2 linked regions of the Astyanax mexicanus genome follow. The protein of the gene in region 1 interacts with the protein of each later gene in a pairwise test. Links are inferred from orthologs where the notes say so. Each region holds a gene or a part of one and is shown on either strand. Other genes may lie near its edges. The genes, in order: pals1a and lin7a.

Region 1 (9,252 bases):
GAGCTCACTTTAGTTGGTTATTTTCCAAATTCATATCTATTTTTCTGTTATTATTAAATGTTATTAGCTTATTAGCTTAGCTTGTCATTTAGCATACAGAACTTCTCACGGATTTTTAATGAATGTTGATTTATTAATTTAAAAGCTGTACCTTATTAAAAGTATTTTAAGCCAGACAGACACTGTGTGATTTTTTAATGAGTTTATCTGCACTTTTAAATGGTTTGTCCTGTAGGAAACGCACACGATTTGTATGCTGACACTGTTGTCTGACTGAGGAGCTGCTTTCCGTCAAATGCAGCCTGTAGGCAGGAAAAAATCCAGCCAGAACCGACCATATCATGAGCCAGTTTTAAAGCCAGTAATTTAGTAGAGCATTAAACTACAAATCTGAGATGTACCTGCTGTACTTCTTAATCTCTGCCCCCAAAACGGTCCATTAACTTGCTTGACAGACGCGTCAAATCCCCCGCGAGCACGCGCGGCGCACAGCGCACCGATTAATTCATGCGTTGAGCTTTAAACGCGCAGCTGAGCTGTAATTGGGGAAATATCACAAAAATCACAGTGTGATTTGTTACATTAAAAAAAAGACCATTTTCTTCCGCCTAATCTGAGAGGAAAGCGGTGTTCTCGACCGGCCCGAGTTCATGCAGCGCCTGAGTCAGGCTGGCGTTCAAGCTCGGGTTCGGGCTCGCGTTCAGGCAGATAATCTAAATGATAAATGATTTTGTGTTTTTGCACTTGGGCCATAAGCTCAATATTAAAAAGTTCGTTTGTTTAGAAATTATTTTATATCCTTAAACCATGTTAAATTATATTAGATTAGAGGAAAGTCATTTAGACATCATTCTTAAGGTGTTTTTGTCCTGTTACCGCTCCGCAAAAAAACCTCTTCCTTTAATCCGCGCCCCACATACACATTTTTGCAGCACCTGCCCCGAGGTCCTAATATAAATTGAATTAATTACATTTAGTGCTTAAAATTTACTTAAAATTTATTTAAAACGTGCTGAACAGTGCGGCCGTTTATTCCCAAAGTCCAAACACTATGGTTGTTTGCGTGTGTCGGGCCATACTCCACTATTCTTTAGGGTTTTTTGTTGCATGCATGAGAATAACTATTACAATTTTCTTAACTATTTATTAATTTGCTCCAGCGTCTTCTGGATTGATTACACGTTGTGTTTTCGTTGTTTGCCGCGCCACTTAGACGGAAATGGAAATGAATGTTTATCGAATTCTATTGCACAGGCTTATCATCGTCATCGAGGGAAAAATTATCGCGAAACAAATCGATATCGTTATATCGCCCAGCACTAACATAGGCTGTGAATTACTTCTGGAATGAGGAAACAAAAATGTCAGATGGTCTGTCATCAGATAACAGAAACAGTAAATAAGAAATATAACGCACTTTTTTCTACCCATAACCCAACTTTAACACTAAATTTATATAAATCTATCTATAAAAGGAGAGGACTGGGCTGCACTGGATTTGTGTATGTTTGTTTGTAAGTCCCTAGTTAACACTACTTGCTTTTTAAACCTAGCCGAGCTATATTAATCACAGAAATGTGATGACAGATTGACACCACTGTGCTAGTTAGAGTAACTCCTGCTGTTAAAAATAATGTGTGTATTATATCTGTTATGATAATCTGTCACCAGTTATGATGGTCAGATTACCGGCATATACTTTATCGTCATAAAGTGGCACTCGGATGAGTAATACTGAAATACTGAAAATGTGTTTAAATATCACTGTTATTAAAATATATTCTCTTGTGAACAATATTCATACTAAATTATCTAGTCACAAATAGCCTACATTCAAACTTATAATGAGCTGATTCAACAGGGCCAAGAAAAACATTATAGAACTCCATGCCACAGAGTTCTGTTAAACTCAGAACATCATAAAACACCATAAAAGCATCAAAACTACCCTGAGATATTATAATACAATAAAAAGTCTAGTCAGTCCTAAACCACACTGTAAGACAATTATTATAACTGCATTGCCATACTATTGGATCGGGACTCCGTATTGGCAGATACTCAAAATCAAATGATTTACTCTAGGACAAAAAATGTGATTGGGACATTCCTAACTATGACAGTTTTTAAAACAAATGCAATATATTTCCTTACATTATCACTATTATATTGCAATTTATTCAATCACAATTCCTGGAAAGTGATATGTATTCTATCTTGCCAAAACACAGCCTAACCAATGACTTCATCCACTTTACATCTAATGACTTCTGCAGACCTGTATCTGGGGTGTGGCTGAGTGAAACTCAGCTCATGTCTAAGGAAACTGCCTGATGTCTGAGAACAATGTCATTTCTTACTGGAGAACAGTGAAGCGGTGAGTCAAAAGGTCTCAGGAAATACTGCTCTCAGGAAACATGGACAGGAAAAACTACAAAATCTACTAAAGCAAACTTTCTCTGAATTTGAAATTCTATCAACAACAATCTTTGAAATCAAGGACATTCCTTTACATTCTACAAACTGAACCAAACAAATTGAGTGCCATTATCAGCTGGTAATGCACGGTAACCGAAGCTCTCCATGTATTACTCTGCCACATGCAGGTAACCTAGCAACGATGCAGCACTTACAAGGCAAACAGCGCAGCTACAAATGGAGCAGTAATATAACTATTTTAACTCTAAGTGTTTATAACCAAACAGATGGTATTTTCTCGTCCTCTTTAGCTCAAAATCTTTCCATAAACAGCGATAATGGAACTGCGGTATAATCACAACAATACATTCGAAGGTTCTGCTATAATGTGTAATATTGGCACTGCTGTGCTGCAGTCTTAGGCATGAGTGTATTATTGCTTAATTCTATCAGTCATTGCTTAATTATATCAACTAATCGTTTCAGCCTAATTCCAGTTCAACATTGAACATTTTCAGCTTGCCAAAAATAAATTTTCACCACAAAACCATTTTTTATTTTAAATTAATTTATGGCAATATGTAGAACTTCAAAACAGAAGGCGAAAGTTGAGTAGGGGAAAATCTAAGATATTGTATTGGTAACATTTTGTTTTATTATTACTGTATTAGAGCACTCTTGGTTAAATTGCAAAATTTCTTTATTTTCTAAAATGTAGAGAATTTACATCCAGACAAAAATAAACATGCTTGAACATCATGGAGTATAATTATAATTCAATAACTTAATTTAACATTAAATTAAGAAAATTAAATATAATGTGGCATGTGCAAAAGTAATGGTAAACAAAATTGTAGAGTATTTTGTTTTGTAAATGGCTCATTGTTAAAACAGGAATTGTGTCAAGGTATATTTAGAATATGTATTTATTTATCTGCACTCAGTCTTATACAAGTCCACTACAAAAATAATCTGTATTGTTATTCGTTACAATTATAAAAATGTTAGAAATCATTTTAAACTCACATTATCACTAAAGCCAGAGTGAAAGATGCTCTGCTCTGTCACTGGGTTTGATGAAGCTGCTGCTCATCAATGAGTGAATCAAGAGATTTAGCTGATCTAATATGAAAACCATACTGCTCCCGTTCTGCCCTTTCACTGCTTTCTTTCATATCTATATAACACAGTACTGTACTTTTACTTTCAGTACTTCAGCACTACATTTTACTATAAACTACCTGCTGCAGCTCTTAAGTACAAAACATGTGAAATACTTCAGTATTCATGGGAATTAAAGAACACTTGAACTTCTACTTAAGTTAATAACTTTTTGATGGATAACGTTTAACTTACTCATATCTGGGTTTCTAGTAGTTTATACACCTTTATAAATTACATCGGCCGGGGGCGCTGTGCTGTGAGTAGAGTACACTTGTAAATAAGCATAAGGTCGGATTAGACATTAAACAGCTAATTAAAGTTTTGTTTAATTTAGCTAGGGTTAGTTAGTTAGTTAACTATGGAGGTTTAGGGGGGGAACACTCGAAATTACGAGTGTTTGTAAGAATTAGTTCGCGAAGTTGTGAAGAGGCTGTGTTGGTGAAACTCAGCCCCGGGACGGAGCAGCTGTGGGTTAAATTAGCTGGTTAAGCTAAACTATTCACTTTACTGTTTAACGACTCGCGGAGAACAAATTCAGCCCCGTTAATGTCAAGTAATCCCTCAGAAACAGGAATATTTACCAGAAGGAAGTGTTAAAACAGCGCGGTGCGCGCCGTGAGTCCGCCCGCTCCTTTAGAAGCGCTGAAGAGTTTACAAGTAGCTGCTTAGCTAACAGGCTAACAAGCTAACAGGCTAACAGCGCTCCCCCGCCCGCCGCGCGCGCCGCTCCTGGCAACCTGTCGCGAGGGAGCGCAGAGCTCGCGAGCGGAGCCGCGCCGCCGCACCAAGACACTAAACACTGCGGGCCGAGGACTGAAAGAACAGCGGGGAAAGTTGGTCTTTACCTCTCGGGCTAAAATCCGCGGAGACTTCCCGGTTTTAATCCGTATCCGCCGAGTCGCTCCTCACATACAGCAGCGCAGCAGAGCGGCCGCGGCCCGGGCTCGCGACATGTTGTGGTAAAGTGAGACGGGGAGGGGGGGGAGGGGGGAGAGGGGGCGGTAAGTGACTCTGCAGCGCCCCCTCGGGTTCAGACAAGAACATATATTTTTTTCCAAAGCCTAAACAGTTTTACAACACTAATCTGTTCATTTTACTCAAACATATACCTATAAATAGCAAAATCAGAGAAACTCAAGTAGTCTCTTACATATAAATATATAACATTACAGCTCTGGAACAAAAGTTTCTGAACCAGTTTCTCTGATTTCGCTATTTATAGGTAGATGTTTGTGTATCAAGAACATTTGTTGATTTATTCTATAAACGGCAGACAGCATTTCTCCCATATTCCAAATAAAAATATTGTCCTTTAGAGCATTTATTTGCAGAAAATGAGAAATGGTCAAATTTACAAAAAAGGCGCAGAGCTTTGAGACCTCAAATAATACAAAAAAAATCATATTAATAAGCTTTTAAGATCAGAAATAAATATTTGGTGGAATAACCCTCGTTTTTAATCACAGATTTCATGCATCTTGGCATGTTCCCCTCCACCAGCCTTACACACTGCTTTTGGATAACTTTATGCCACTCCTAGTGGCTTAAAAAGAAAGTATATATATATATATATATATATATATATATATATATATATATATATATATATATATATATATATATACCAACTGCACAGTGTTGGGCATAATGAAAAACGCCCTCTTATCTAAACTTTGCCATAATACTAAAACTGGAAAATTCTTCTGTATTCCTGAGTAAAATTTTATGTTATTCAGTGGGCGGGCAAATAAATAAAAAAATAAAAAAATATATAAATATAAATAAATATATATATATATATATATATATATATATGAATGCTTAAGAAATGAAAAGGCACACAACCAGTGTCACCACTAAGTCTAGACAGTTCCGTAGGTGTGACTAACAGGATACTGAGAAGGACTTTTAATAGGACAGTCTTACTAAAGACAACCCACATACCTTTACAGTGGAACAGTGCTGCACTACAATTCAGGAGTCTGATCCATCTTCAGGAAGGTCTTTTGTGCCTTTCTAGAATAGAGAGCTGAACCCTGCCTCTAAAAATGGTCTGGGTTTTCCAGACCTTATCTTTACCTCTACTGTACCTGTTAACTGTCATTTCTTTATAAATATCTGAAACTGAGGAAATTATATCCTAAAAAAGCTTCTCTTGCTTAAGACATAAAAAGGAAATCTTTGTTTAAACATTTTGCCTTTTTGGAGATTGGCTCACCTTCTACTTACCTGGCTTTTTACAGTAACAGTCATTCGGACCACAAGTGTTCTCAAAATTGTGAATGCTCCTTTCCATTTGAAAAACAGAACACGGTCAGAAACTTCAGCCATCTTTCAATGTTTATTTTAAAAAGAGAAACTGAACCACATGTTTTTTACAGAATGATCAAGGATTTTAATTTCATCAGTTTGAATATCATTACAGAAAAAAAGTTATTATAGTACAGAGTTTTGTCTCCTCATTGCTTCAATATATTCCATAAGGAGTGCTGGTCACACATCTGTACATCACCACTCTCGTGTTCGTTGTCTTTTCTATGTTTGTTTGTATATATGTTTTGACTGTACATTATATATTTATTTATTTAGGTTAAAAAGGCTGTCAGCAATTAAATAAGCTGTATTGTCCTTTTAAAGTCAAAGAAATAAAAGGTCCCAGCTCCCTCAGCCTCTAGGAGTGGGTGGGGCTGGTTAAAGAGGTGGGGTATAGGGCAGGGTTGGGAGTAATAAGGGCGGAGCGATGAAGAGAGATGGTTATGATGGATGTTTTGGACCGAGGAAGTCTGCCGGACCGACCGCTCCAGCTCTTTCATGTGTTTCAGCAGCACAAATCGAACATGTACCTTCCATATAATCAGTAGCTAGGATAACAGAAACTGCACTAACATATGTGCATTTTACTACTAGACACAGCAGGTAAATGTGGACCAAATCCAATGTTTTACATTATATGGGTGACACAGATGTGTCATTTGTGAACAGTAGGGCTAACAGGGCTGATGATTATTTTGGTAGTCAACTAATCTAATAATGATTCTTTTAATTAGTCGATTAGTCAACATTTAACTGCTTTAATTAAAAAAAAAGAAAAAGCTAAACTCTGGATTTAAATGCCCATTACAAAGCGCTGCTGTTATAAATTAACCATTAGTCCACACTGATAAACTAATCAAACGTTTGTCTCTCAGTTTCATAACCACACTCCACTCCCTCCCCGGCCCAGGCCTTTGGCACCGCGCACATAAACACGACTCACGAGATAAACGACAAGCAAAGCAGTTCTGTGAGGCCTTTATGAAGTGCAATGAAGCTTCAATGGAGCATACAGTATAATACTAAAGGGAAAAAAGCTGGGTCACCTCGGTGCACCGAGTGGTGTTGAATGAGTCCGATAGAGACGGGAAACCGAGAAAAAACTCTGCTGTCATCTCGAGCGGTTCTGTCCCTCAAAAAAAAAAAAAATAAATAAATCTTTTCCAGTGATGTAATCTGGACAGGCGCATACAGCTCTTTATTAAAATGCTACTGCTATCTATAAGGTCTAGCACTGAGCACACAAAAGCAATTGCGATGAAAGACAGAGGAGAGTTGCTTAATATGATGATGATAATATATATAATTATATTAATCATTATATTATTATAATATATTACAGAATAAATCTCTTTTCTTTCTTATATATATATATATATATATATATATATATATATATATATATATATATCTTCTTTAAAAGGTATATCTTTCTTTCTTTGAAATACTAGGATGTCTTTGAAGTCTTGAAATACTCATAAATTTGTTCAGAAGTTTTTGTTTCAAAATGTTTATATGATTATACTTGATCATCATTATCCAAATCGATAAAAACTTGCTGTGCCGTTGCATATTACAGAGTAGTAAATGATATGTGGACATGCACCACTTCGCTCTGGGCTTACTGGTCCTCCTAAGACAGCATCATAGCCGTCCTATGACCATCACGTCCACCACCTCTCCTTTGTGCAGCTCCACGTATTGCTCTGTTTTGGGAGGCAGCATTAGAAGTCCGTTGGCACTGCGCATGCTCATCAACCGACTGCTCATCTGGTTTCCTGAGAGAGGGAAGAAAAAAAAGAGCGAGTTAAACCGGTTTTAAGATAAATTACATCCAAACTGACTCCTCTTCAGACTTGAGTCCTTTTTACACACTGTATCTGTATCTGTTCTCTGTATACTTTTTTATTCTCTTCCTTTTATCCTGTTCTTCAATCCTCAGGACCCCAAAGGTGGTGGGTCGTAGCACTGCAGTGATTAGCACTGATTAGCATGGTGGTGGTGTATGAGGTGTTAAGGTGTAAAGACGCACCACCCAAATAATTATAGCTGCTCTGTGGTAGTCTCTCCTATGGGGCCTCAAGTATTGAAGAACAGGGTAAAAAAAGGAGAATAATAAAGTATGCAGAGAAACAAATACAGGACTACCCCTCAGACTTAACTAATATACAACTGAAATATATGGTGGACAAGGATTGGTGTATGTTCCACATCTAGGTGCCACTGTAACCAGATTATTAATTCTGATTAGTGTAAAGTCTCCCCTACCTGTGCTCTGTGCCCAGGGCAGAGGCTCCTGGTGATGCCACGTTAATATACAGCGATGATACTCCGGACGGGGGTCCAGCTTTACATCACAGGACAGCTATGAAGAAAAACATAATTTATTATGAAACCCGAGCACAAAAAACAGAGTCTAATACGGGCCAACAAATAATTGAGTGCAATTCAAATGTACAAACCATGATAAACAACAAACTATAACCACCATCCTTGCTGAACTGAACTTTTATTTTACTAAACTTAACTTTTATATTATTACAGTGGTATTAAAAGTTTGGGCACAACTGAATATTTTAAAATGATTTTTCTTTATAAATTGGTGGTTCGGATCAGCAATTTCAGTTAAATATGTTATGTAGCAGATGAACACCATGATATCTGAGAAGTGAAATAAAGTTAATAGGATTTACAGAAAGTGTGCAATAATTCTTTAAACAAAATTATTTGGAGGGCAGTATGCATGGTGGAAAAAAAGACACAGCATTCCAAGACAAACACTTGCTACCCAGAGTGGTGGTGGTTCCATCATACTGGGGGGCTGTATGTCCAGTGCAGGTACTGGGAATCTTGTTAAAGTTGAGGGTCACATGGATTCCAGTCAGTGTTCAAGAATCAGTGACAGTTAAAGTTGGATACTTCCCACAACCCTAAACACTGCTTAAAATCAGAGGAACAAGTACAACGTTCTGGAATGATTATCTGAGTCCCCAGACCTGAATATTATACAAAATCTTTGGTGTGATTTTAAAGCGGGCTGTTCATGCTCAGAAACCATCAAACCTGACTGAACTTGAGATGTTTTGTAAAGAAGAATGATCCAAAATACCTTCAGCCAGAAACCAGACTCTCATTGGAAGCTATAGGGAGCGTTTAAAGGCTGTTATTTCAGCAAAAGTAGGATCTACTAAATATATATCCACTAAATAAAAAGGATCTCCTCAAATTTCGCTTCTCAAATAAATCTGTTTTCTTCTGCTATATGATATATTTAACTGAAATTGCTGATATAAACAACCAAAAATTCATAAAAGAAAATCATGAAATTCATCAGGGGTGGCCAAACCTTTTCACACC
Region 2 (9,143 bases), on another chromosome or scaffold:
CTAGATGTTAATGTTTGCCTTTGCAGCCATGGGTGCAACCTAAAGTAGCTGAATAATGCATTCATTAGAAGATGTGTCCACAAATATTTGGACATACAGTATATGCTCTTTAAGCGCTCTCTTCCTTTCTTTTTTTCTCTCTAGCTCACTCTTTCTCTCTCTCTAAGCCACGCATCCATTAAGCCTGCTCTCTTCTCTCTTTAATCCCACTCCATTTTACTGAAAGCTGAAATGTTTTCCAGAGGCTTGCACTGTGCCCCATATGGTCGCGAGAACATAATCTCCCTGTGGCCTCGTTCTATCAGGCTTTAGGCCCGGCCCCCTTCATCCCTCGCTCTACTCCAGCACTCCACATCTGTCTGCAAAACTAAGAGAGAGAGAGAAAGAGAGAGAGAGAGAGAAAGAGAAAGAAAGAGAGAGAACAGTATTGATGCAGCTTGTCCTGAGGCTAAGCAGCTATGTACCCACCATACCGGCCCGTAATCAATCAAATCTCCACTCCACAGCTAACGGGGAAAGAGCGGCCGATGCTGTTTTAGCTGCTTTATTCCACAGCAGCGTGATTGAGTGCAGCTCCAGAGTGTGTGCTGTGTGTGGATTTCTGGGTGTTTTCATTGATTGCAGTTCAAACTGTGGGTTTATGATTCAAGCTGGAATCGGACCAGGATTTACATTTTTCGCTTTGGAGCATTTTTCACATCAGAATTGAATTTCTCAAAACCAGTTGTTCGGTCTGCACATCATCTCATCACTTATGCAGATCACAGAAATCATTTCTCTTTCATTTTAAAGAAGCAGCCAATTATTTCATACAACTGTCTGCTGTTTCCCAAATTATCAATTGCTCCTATCATGCAGATCACAATATATTATTTGTTACGCTGCAGAACTGACAGATACAGCTAGCTATTAGTTCACTGCACATGTCCTTACATTCAAATTATTTAAATTAGTTATCAGAGCCTGTAAAGCAGATTTTATATATTTTAATCACTGACAGGGTGCCGAAAATGTTCCAGCTGAGAATGACACAGATGTACTGTATTACATGCACCACAGGACCACCACAGAGCTGGGATTATTGTTTGGGTGGTGGGTCATTATTCTCAGCACTGCAGTGATCAGCTTTGATTATCATGGTGGTGGTGGTGTATGAGGTGTTAGTGTGTGTAGTGCTGGTACAGCAGTGCTGCTGGATTTTTTAAACACCTCAGTGTCACTGCTGGACTGAGAGTAGTCCACCAACCAGCATCTCATGGGCAGCATCCTGTGGGCATTGATGAAGGTCTAGAGGATGACCAACACAAAACGTGCCACAGATGACTTCACATCTACAATGTAGAGAAACTAGTTAAAAGTGTCTAATAGAGTGGACAAAGTGTTTAAATCCCACCGCATATTAAACAACAATCAACTATTATATAACTATAAAGTGCTCCTATATGCACAGTGGAGCTAAAACATAGATTATGGATGTAGAAACAAGTAGTTAGTCACAATGTTATGCTTGATAGGTGTATAATATATACAGTACAAAATAACAATGAATGTAATTCATAAGTCATGTTGCATATTCTGGAATGTAACCTAATGGAACTGGAATAAAGTAAATCATACACCTGGATGTAGCTGGCTTTAACCTGATGAAAATACTGTATTACTGATATTCTTGTCTGTTCTGTGGTACAACAACATGATCTGCCATTTATACAAACAGTAAAATCATAAAGATAAATTATGCATTATGAAATTCCTCACTGAGTATACTGATACATGACCACATGACTAATCATTTTGACTGTCTTGTTCATAATCGATGAATAAATAACTTTTTATTCTGGTGACTGACATGTTCACTTACATGTATACATACGTTTGGGTCATGGGTAAAGGAATTTGATTGCAGTGTGTGCATTTGCTGCTGATAATTTATGTGATGCTGTTTGTACAAGCTGTTCTGAGAAGTGCCCACACTGTGTTGCAAATATTAATTCAGATTTGAGAAATGCACCAAAGTGACTGTATTTGGGCCAAACATGGACTAATGTGTCCTATGGAGAAAACTGTGACACTTGGCCCCAGATATAATAGGCATAAAAATCACCACCAAATTGGTTCCATGACAATGCCTGACCGAGATGGCGACTAGCTCGACCAAAACATGTGGCAGGTCTATGAATCCACCCCTTACACAGGTGCCATTAGACCTAGATCACCAATGCTGTTCATTTCACATGGCATTGATTTTAATGTTACAATCAGTACTGTATAGCAAATTTGTTTATACTGGTTGACCTGACTGGTTGGGCTAAACTGTCAAACCCAGATAAAACAAATAGCTTATACTGGTCAAGAACTATATATAGAGCTTTATTGCCAAATATATTAATTCACCCATTCAAAAAAAAATTTACTTCAGGTGTTCTCATTACCAGCGGCCACTGGACTGTAGAACAGTTGTGACATGTTCTCTGGAGAGACCAATCATGCTAATTTTGTCTGGCTGCATTGTGCCAAGTGTAAAGTTTGGTGGAGGGGGATTAAGGTTTTTTTTCCAGGAGTTGGGCTTGGCCACTTCCAGTGAAAGAGACTCCTCATGTTTCAGCACACCAAGAGACTTTGGAAAATGTCATGCTCCTAACTCTGCAGCAACAGTTTGGGGATGCCCTTTCCTAATCCAACCTGTCTGCACACCAGTGCTCAAAAAAAGTATTTAAAAACATGGATAAGCATGTCTGTTTTGGAAGAACTTGACTGTTTTGACCTCAAACCCAATAGAACACCTTTGGAATGAATTAGAGTGGAGACAAGAGCCAGGCTTTCTCATCCATTATCAGTACCTGGCCTCACAAATGTGTCAAAAAAAACTTATAAACACACTCCCAAACCTTGTGGAAAGCCTTTCCAGAAGAAATAAAAGTGTTATAGCTGCAGAGGGTAAGCTCACATCATTCAAACCTCTATGGGTTAAAAAAGAGCAAATATTTTTGGCAATATATTGTAAGTTAGTCAACCAGTTTAACCAAATTGGTTAAGCTGGCCAGGCTGTTTTAGCAGTCTGCACTGTTTTGGCTGTACATTACATCCAGCAAGTGACCCATGAAGAACTTGTAAATAGCTGGGCTCGTAGATAGCAGCATTTTATCCTCTTCCAGCTTACCTGCAGTGCTCCAGCCCATTAAACCTCAGCTGGATGTCCCAAACAGAACCCTGCTCTGGGGCTGCTGCTGTTCCACTCCATATAAACCCACAGATTACACCAGGACTGCCTGGACAAGAATTGCCAAAACCATCACTCATACTGAACAGGAGCAGTGGACATCCTCAGATCATTAACAGTCAATATAAACCAACAGCCTCACAATAAATGCATCATCCATATATCTCTCTGTCTTACACACCCTCTTTCTTTCTCGTTCTCTTCCTCATCATCCCTATCTCTTTCTCTTTCTTGAGCTCTCTCTCTCATTTATTCACTCTGGATGACTGCATGACATAGGGCCTGTACTTTCTAGTCTAGTACCATTAAATACAGTTTATGAAATTGTGAAGGCACCTGTATGGCACCACATCACATTTAATACACTGGTGGCACTTCTCAATTAGAGGGGCACCTAACTGAGCACATCATCATGTTCTTTCAACTGTAGGAGAACACCATTCATTCACTCTACTGGAAAGGGCACTCTTTGGGACACGTTATAATGGCACCCCTACTACTACTGAAACGGCAGACGGGCACTCACAGATGGCACTCTTTAAGACAAATTATTAACATTTCTTGATCTAACAGCACAGCAACATCATTTATTCTAAGAAGGGGCACCTAATGGGCACTCAATCACTGTTTGTCCCGACTAGATGGGCAGACAATAGGGTTATTTGTCTCCTTTTCCACTTTAGATGGCACTTTAGTGACACTTTTTTACCATGGGGTCACCAAAGGGGCAGTTGCCCACTCTCTTTAATTATTCTGTCTTTTTCTCAACCTTTATCCCACTCATATATATTGTACTTCTGTATTACTGTACTACTGTACCCATTCTCTCTATCATTACATTTATCTCTCATACTACCCCTTCTCTGTCTATACCTCTTTTTCTCATTAACCCCATCTCTTTCTCTTTTACTATTTTATTCTCCCTTTTCTTGTTATCCCCATCTTGTCTCTTCCACCCCTCTCTCTTTTTCTTACTTTCTCCATCTCTTTTACACCTTTACTCTTTTACTCTCTCATACTATATCTATTTTTCTTTCTCTTTATGATCCCCATCTCTCCTTTACCCTTTCTCTCTTAACCTTACAATATTTCTCTCTCCCACTTTCTCTCTTAATCACTATCCTTAATCCACTATTCTCATTAATTCTCTTATTTTTATCTTAATTCTCTATTCTTCATAATCCTTTTCTCACAGCCTCTTTTATTCTCTTTATTCCTATAAACAGTACCTCTCTAATCAATTCTTTCTTCCTATCACTCATCCCTATTTTTCTTTTTCTCTTACTGCCTTTTTCTCATCAACCTTTCTCTCTTTTACTCATAATTGCTATCTCTCTCTCTCTCTCTCTCTCTCTCTATCTATCTCTCTCTCAGTCAACTCTCCCTCTCTCACATAATCTCTCCCTATCTCACACTACCTTTCTGGTGTTCTCTCACTCTCGCACATTCTCACACTATTTTTTCTTTCTCTACACCCCTTTCTTACTATCATTTCATTCTCTTTTATCTTATTACCTCTTTCTCATCGCTTCCCTCTCACTCTATAATCATCATTACTATCGCTCTCTTAACGCTTTCTTCCTATCTCTCATCCTTATTTCTCTCCCTTTCTCTCTCATTCTGCACCCCTCACACTTTCTTGTGTATTCCATTTCACTTATTCCTATCTCTTTCTCATACATCTCTTAATTCCTAACGCACTCTCTCACTAACTCTCCCACTCATCCCCTCTGTCTCTCACTCTTTTTCTGTACCTCCCTGCCTCGCTCTTGTTTTTTTTACTGCTTATTCTCTTTCTTAGTCTCTCTCACTTACTCTCTCCTCCCTATCTCCATCTTTTAACTCTTTATTAATCTCTCTCCCATTCTCTCTCCTCTTCCGTCTATATTTCCCACTGTTTTTGTACACCCGTCTCTCACTATCACTCTCTCTCACTCTGTACCTCTTTTTCCCCTCACCCCTTCCTCACACTATCTCTCTGCTACTTGTTCTCTCCATCACTCTCTCTCTCTATCTTCAGTTAATTCTCACTATCTCTCTCTCATCACTCTCTCTTCAGTTCATTCTTTCTATTTCTCACCTCTCTCTCTTTAGTTCATTCTTCCTATCTCTCTCTCTCTCTCTTCATCTCTCTCTCTTCAGTTCATTCTTCCTTGCTCTCTCTCTCTATAATAACCCCTCTCTTCTCCTACTCTTCCTCTCACTCACTACTCCTCGCTCTGTTTATCCTTCTCTCACTCTCTTCACTCCCCCTCCCATCCCCTTACTCTCTCTCTCTCTCTCTCTCTCTCTCTCTCTCTCTCTCTCTCTCTCTCTCTCTCTCTCTCTCTCTCAGTGTGTGCAGTAATAGAAGGCAGACATGGCGACGGTGGTCCAGCCGCTGACTCTGGAGCGAGGTAAGCGCGCGATGGATCCGCTAGATCCGGGCTCTAATTCGCTTAGATTCGGTTTATTTTATCTCCCGTGTAAACGCTTTAATTCCCGTATAGTTCGTATGAACGGCGTTTTTTATGGAGTGTGTTGCGCCGCGCGCTCCGGCTCGAGCCGCCGTGCTCGCGCTCGCTCGCTCGCTCGGTGTGGTGTGTGTAGTCTATCTGTCAGTAAACCAGGCTGAATTACTCCCACCTGTGCACACACCCGCGCGCGCTTTACTCGCGTGCACGCGCGTCCTTTACTCTCCGCTGTTTCTGTTTACTCCTGTACCTGAAGTTCGGGTCCAAACAATGGAGGGAGGGGGGTACAGGCAGGTGCTTCTGCCGCGCACGAGCTCCCAGACCCCCCTGTCATCATGCGCGAGCTGCGCGTGCACGCAGACGTTGCACAGCATCACTGGAGTAATGATGAGATCTGAGCTCGTGCTTCTGTTTTATGTTTTATGTTGTTTTGCGTACAATTCTCTAAAGGGGCTGCTGACTATGTGTTTCAGTGGAGTATTATGGGATGCGCGCGCGCGCGTGTGTGTTTGTGTGTTTTGTGTGTGTGTGCACTGTGCATGCACTATAGCCCCTAACTGGGAGTTAAGCCAGAATGGGTACGATGGTGTGAGTGTGCTGTGTTTCTGGTTGTACTGGTGTTCCTCAGGCCGATCTCTAATTGCCATAATCTTTAAATGGCCATAATAGTGTGTAGTCAAAATCTTCCACGATTAATTCCGGTCGATATGATATAATTATTATATGAATATGAACAGTAAAAAGCCTCCACCTGTGGTGCTCATCACTCAGTGACACTGCCAGGCTACAGTACTCTGTAGTGTTCTGCCCTTTGTGCTCAGCTTGAATTCAGTGAACTGACAGCAGCTCCCTGTTATGGACATCAGTCAGAGACAGATGTAAAATACTGTATGTCTCTCACAATCCTAGACCAGTATTTTATATTTTGATTTACCTTTATTCAACTAAAAATTATTGATAATTAGTAGAAGACGGTCACACTGATTATGGCTATAGTTCATGCTAATTGTAGTTATTGTAGTGTCCCGGCTAACTGGTGATTCTCATTGTTATTCTGAGCTGGATTATTCACTGATTTGATGGATATCTGATATGTAGATTATATCTGTATGATGCACGGTTGTTCAGTTATGAAGCTTAATAAGTTAATAGGTTATAAGTTTGGGGCTTAATGCGGGCCTCAGACGGGTAAAAATTATTTGACTGTTATTTTATAATAATTCATATAATAATAAATATTGATATTCAATTATTGTCCATTCCTAGTGTATACTGTGTAACTGGTGGTAGTGATGTGGTCAGCAGGCTAGGCTGAGCAAGGCTGGGATATTAATAGAGTAATGGGATAGCACTGGCCCATGGTATAACTGGTATGGCAGTAGCCCTTGCCCTGGTATGAGAGGTATGCTGGGTTATGGTGTTTTAAGGCTGTCTGGGTTAGTGATGGATGGTATAATGTGCTGTTAGCACACACTGAAGTGAGTGGCTCAGTAGGTTAGAGTGCTGCAGCCCTGATTTTATTATACTGCTTTAATGGCCTGTACCCTACATTTCTCTACTTGAGTATTTCTGATCTTTTTATAACATGTACTCAGTCACAATTCACATTTACACAACACACAGACTTTATGTTTATGTGAAGACTTTACACAATTTACTGAATTTAATATAGGGCAAAAATATCAAATATGACACTGAAGCTGTATTATTTTTTTGAAAAAACTGCATAAAGCTAATATAGGCTTTACAATTATACAGTACAGTACACCCCTCACATTTTAGTAGATATTTTCTTATATTTTTTATGGGACAACACTGAAGATATGATATTTTAAAACAATGTAAAGTAGTCAGTGTACAGCTTGTATAACCAGGGCTCTCAAGTTTTAAAGTGGTGGTAGTGTTCGCAGGTCTTCTTCAGTTGTACGAAGTTGTGGATGCGCGCTGTTCTTCTTCAGTTGTACAACGGGGGGAGCTGGGTGGGATTGGTGGATGTGCAAGTGTGGGCAGGTTTGCCGCCGTTCTCCTTCAGTTGTTCACCGAGTGTTTCAGAACTTTTGAATTGGACAGTTCTTCGCACCACCCTCTTTGACTAGGTCTGCCAAACAACAGAGTGATTTTTATTCTGATTGGCTCAACAAGAGTACATTATAATATACAGCCGATGGATTGGTAAGCGTGAGAAATACCATGTGTGGTGTGTGAGCGTGTGAACTCGCTGAGGTGCTCAAAGCGTGAGACTTGAGAACACTGTGTATAACAGTGTAAATTTGCTGTAACTTAATTCAATAGTCTGAACCACTAGAAACAAAAGTGAGTATATCTCTAAGTCAAAATAGCAAAATTGTGCCTAAAGCACCAACATTTTATGTGGCCACCAATATTTCCCAGCACCTCCTTAATCCTCTTGGTCATCGCATTCCTCAGAGCTTCCCAGATCGCCACTGCAATCCTCTTCCACTCCTCCATGACGAAATCATAAATCTAGCCTTTAGAGACCTTGCAATCCTCCACCTTTAATTTAAGGATGCCCCAGATGTGCTCAATTGAGTTTAGGTCTTGAGACATACTTGGCCAGTCCATTACCTTTTTCTTCAGCTTCCTCAGCGAGACAGTTGTCATCTTGGAGTTGTGTTTGAGATTGTTATTGTGTTGGAAATCTGCCATGTGGCCCAGTTTTCAAAGGGAGGAAATCATGCTCTGCTTCAGAATGTCACAGTACATTGAATTCAGCTTTCCAGTGTTGGCAGCACCAGGCCATGCATGTATCCCATGTTCTTGGACTGCTTGTCTTCAGCAAACTGTTTGTTGGCTTTCTTGTGCATCAGCTTTAGAAGAGATGTCCTTCTAGGTCAGTGCCATGCAGACTGAGTTCATGCAGTATATGCCACTTTTTTTAAAGCCAACCTCTGGATATAATGCTGTACATGTGGACTCAACTTCTTTGGTCAACCCTGGGGGGCTTGGGTGGAACCGGTCCTGGAAAACTGCTTTATGACCTTGGCCATCATGCTGTATCTCAGTTTTAGGGTGTTACCAAACGTCTTTTAGCCTACGCTATGAAGTGCCATAATAAATGTCCACGTTTAAATGGCCTGCTGCCCATTTACATCCTTGTAATACTAAGGAGTCACATGATACGAGGAACGGAATATGTGTATTTGGGCACAATTTGCCCATTTTAACTTAGAGGTGTACTCATATTTTTGCCAGTGGTTTAGACAATAATGGATTGTGTTAAGTTTTTTGAGGGTACAGAAAATGTACACTGTTGTATACTGACTAAGTTACATTGTATCAATGTGTCATATCTTCAGTGTTGTCCAATGAAAAGATATAAAACAGTATTTACAAAAATGTGAAAGGTGTACTCACTTTTGTGCGATACTGTATATAAATACATATGTGTTTTTTTCTGGCGTCTTCAGATTGGAAACCAATTTAGTTAGCTGATTTATAGATTGTACAAA

The links.
Region 2: the proteins of pals1a (region 1) and lin7a interact in binary tests that used the Homo sapiens proteins (3 or more experiments, as listed by UniProt). The two-hybrid records come from large-scale screens. The link is inferred for Astyanax mexicanus from reciprocal best matches to the Homo sapiens genes PALS1 and LIN7A.

What each region holds. Positions count from the first base shown.
Region 1 is NC_064421.1:29,477,353-29,486,604, reverse strand, and holds the start of pals1a (protein PALS1), read right to left. Parts: upstream 4,559-9,252; 5' UTR 4,428-4,558; intron 4,248-4,427; exon of another isoform or gene 4,164-4,247; intron 1-4,163. Other genes in the region: gphna (gephyrin a), read right to left, coding at 7,540-7,673, 8,164-8,260. UniProt on the Homo sapiens protein: Plays a role in tight junction biogenesis and in the establishment of cell polarity in epithelial cells.
Region 2 is NC_064409.1:24,818,662-24,827,804, forward strand, and holds the start of lin7a (protein lin-7 homolog A), read left to right. Parts: upstream 1-5,483; 5' UTR 5,484-5,579; coding exon 5,580-5,616; intron 5,617-9,143. UniProt on the Homo sapiens protein: Plays a role in establishing and maintaining the asymmetric distribution of channels and receptors at the plasma membrane of polarized cells.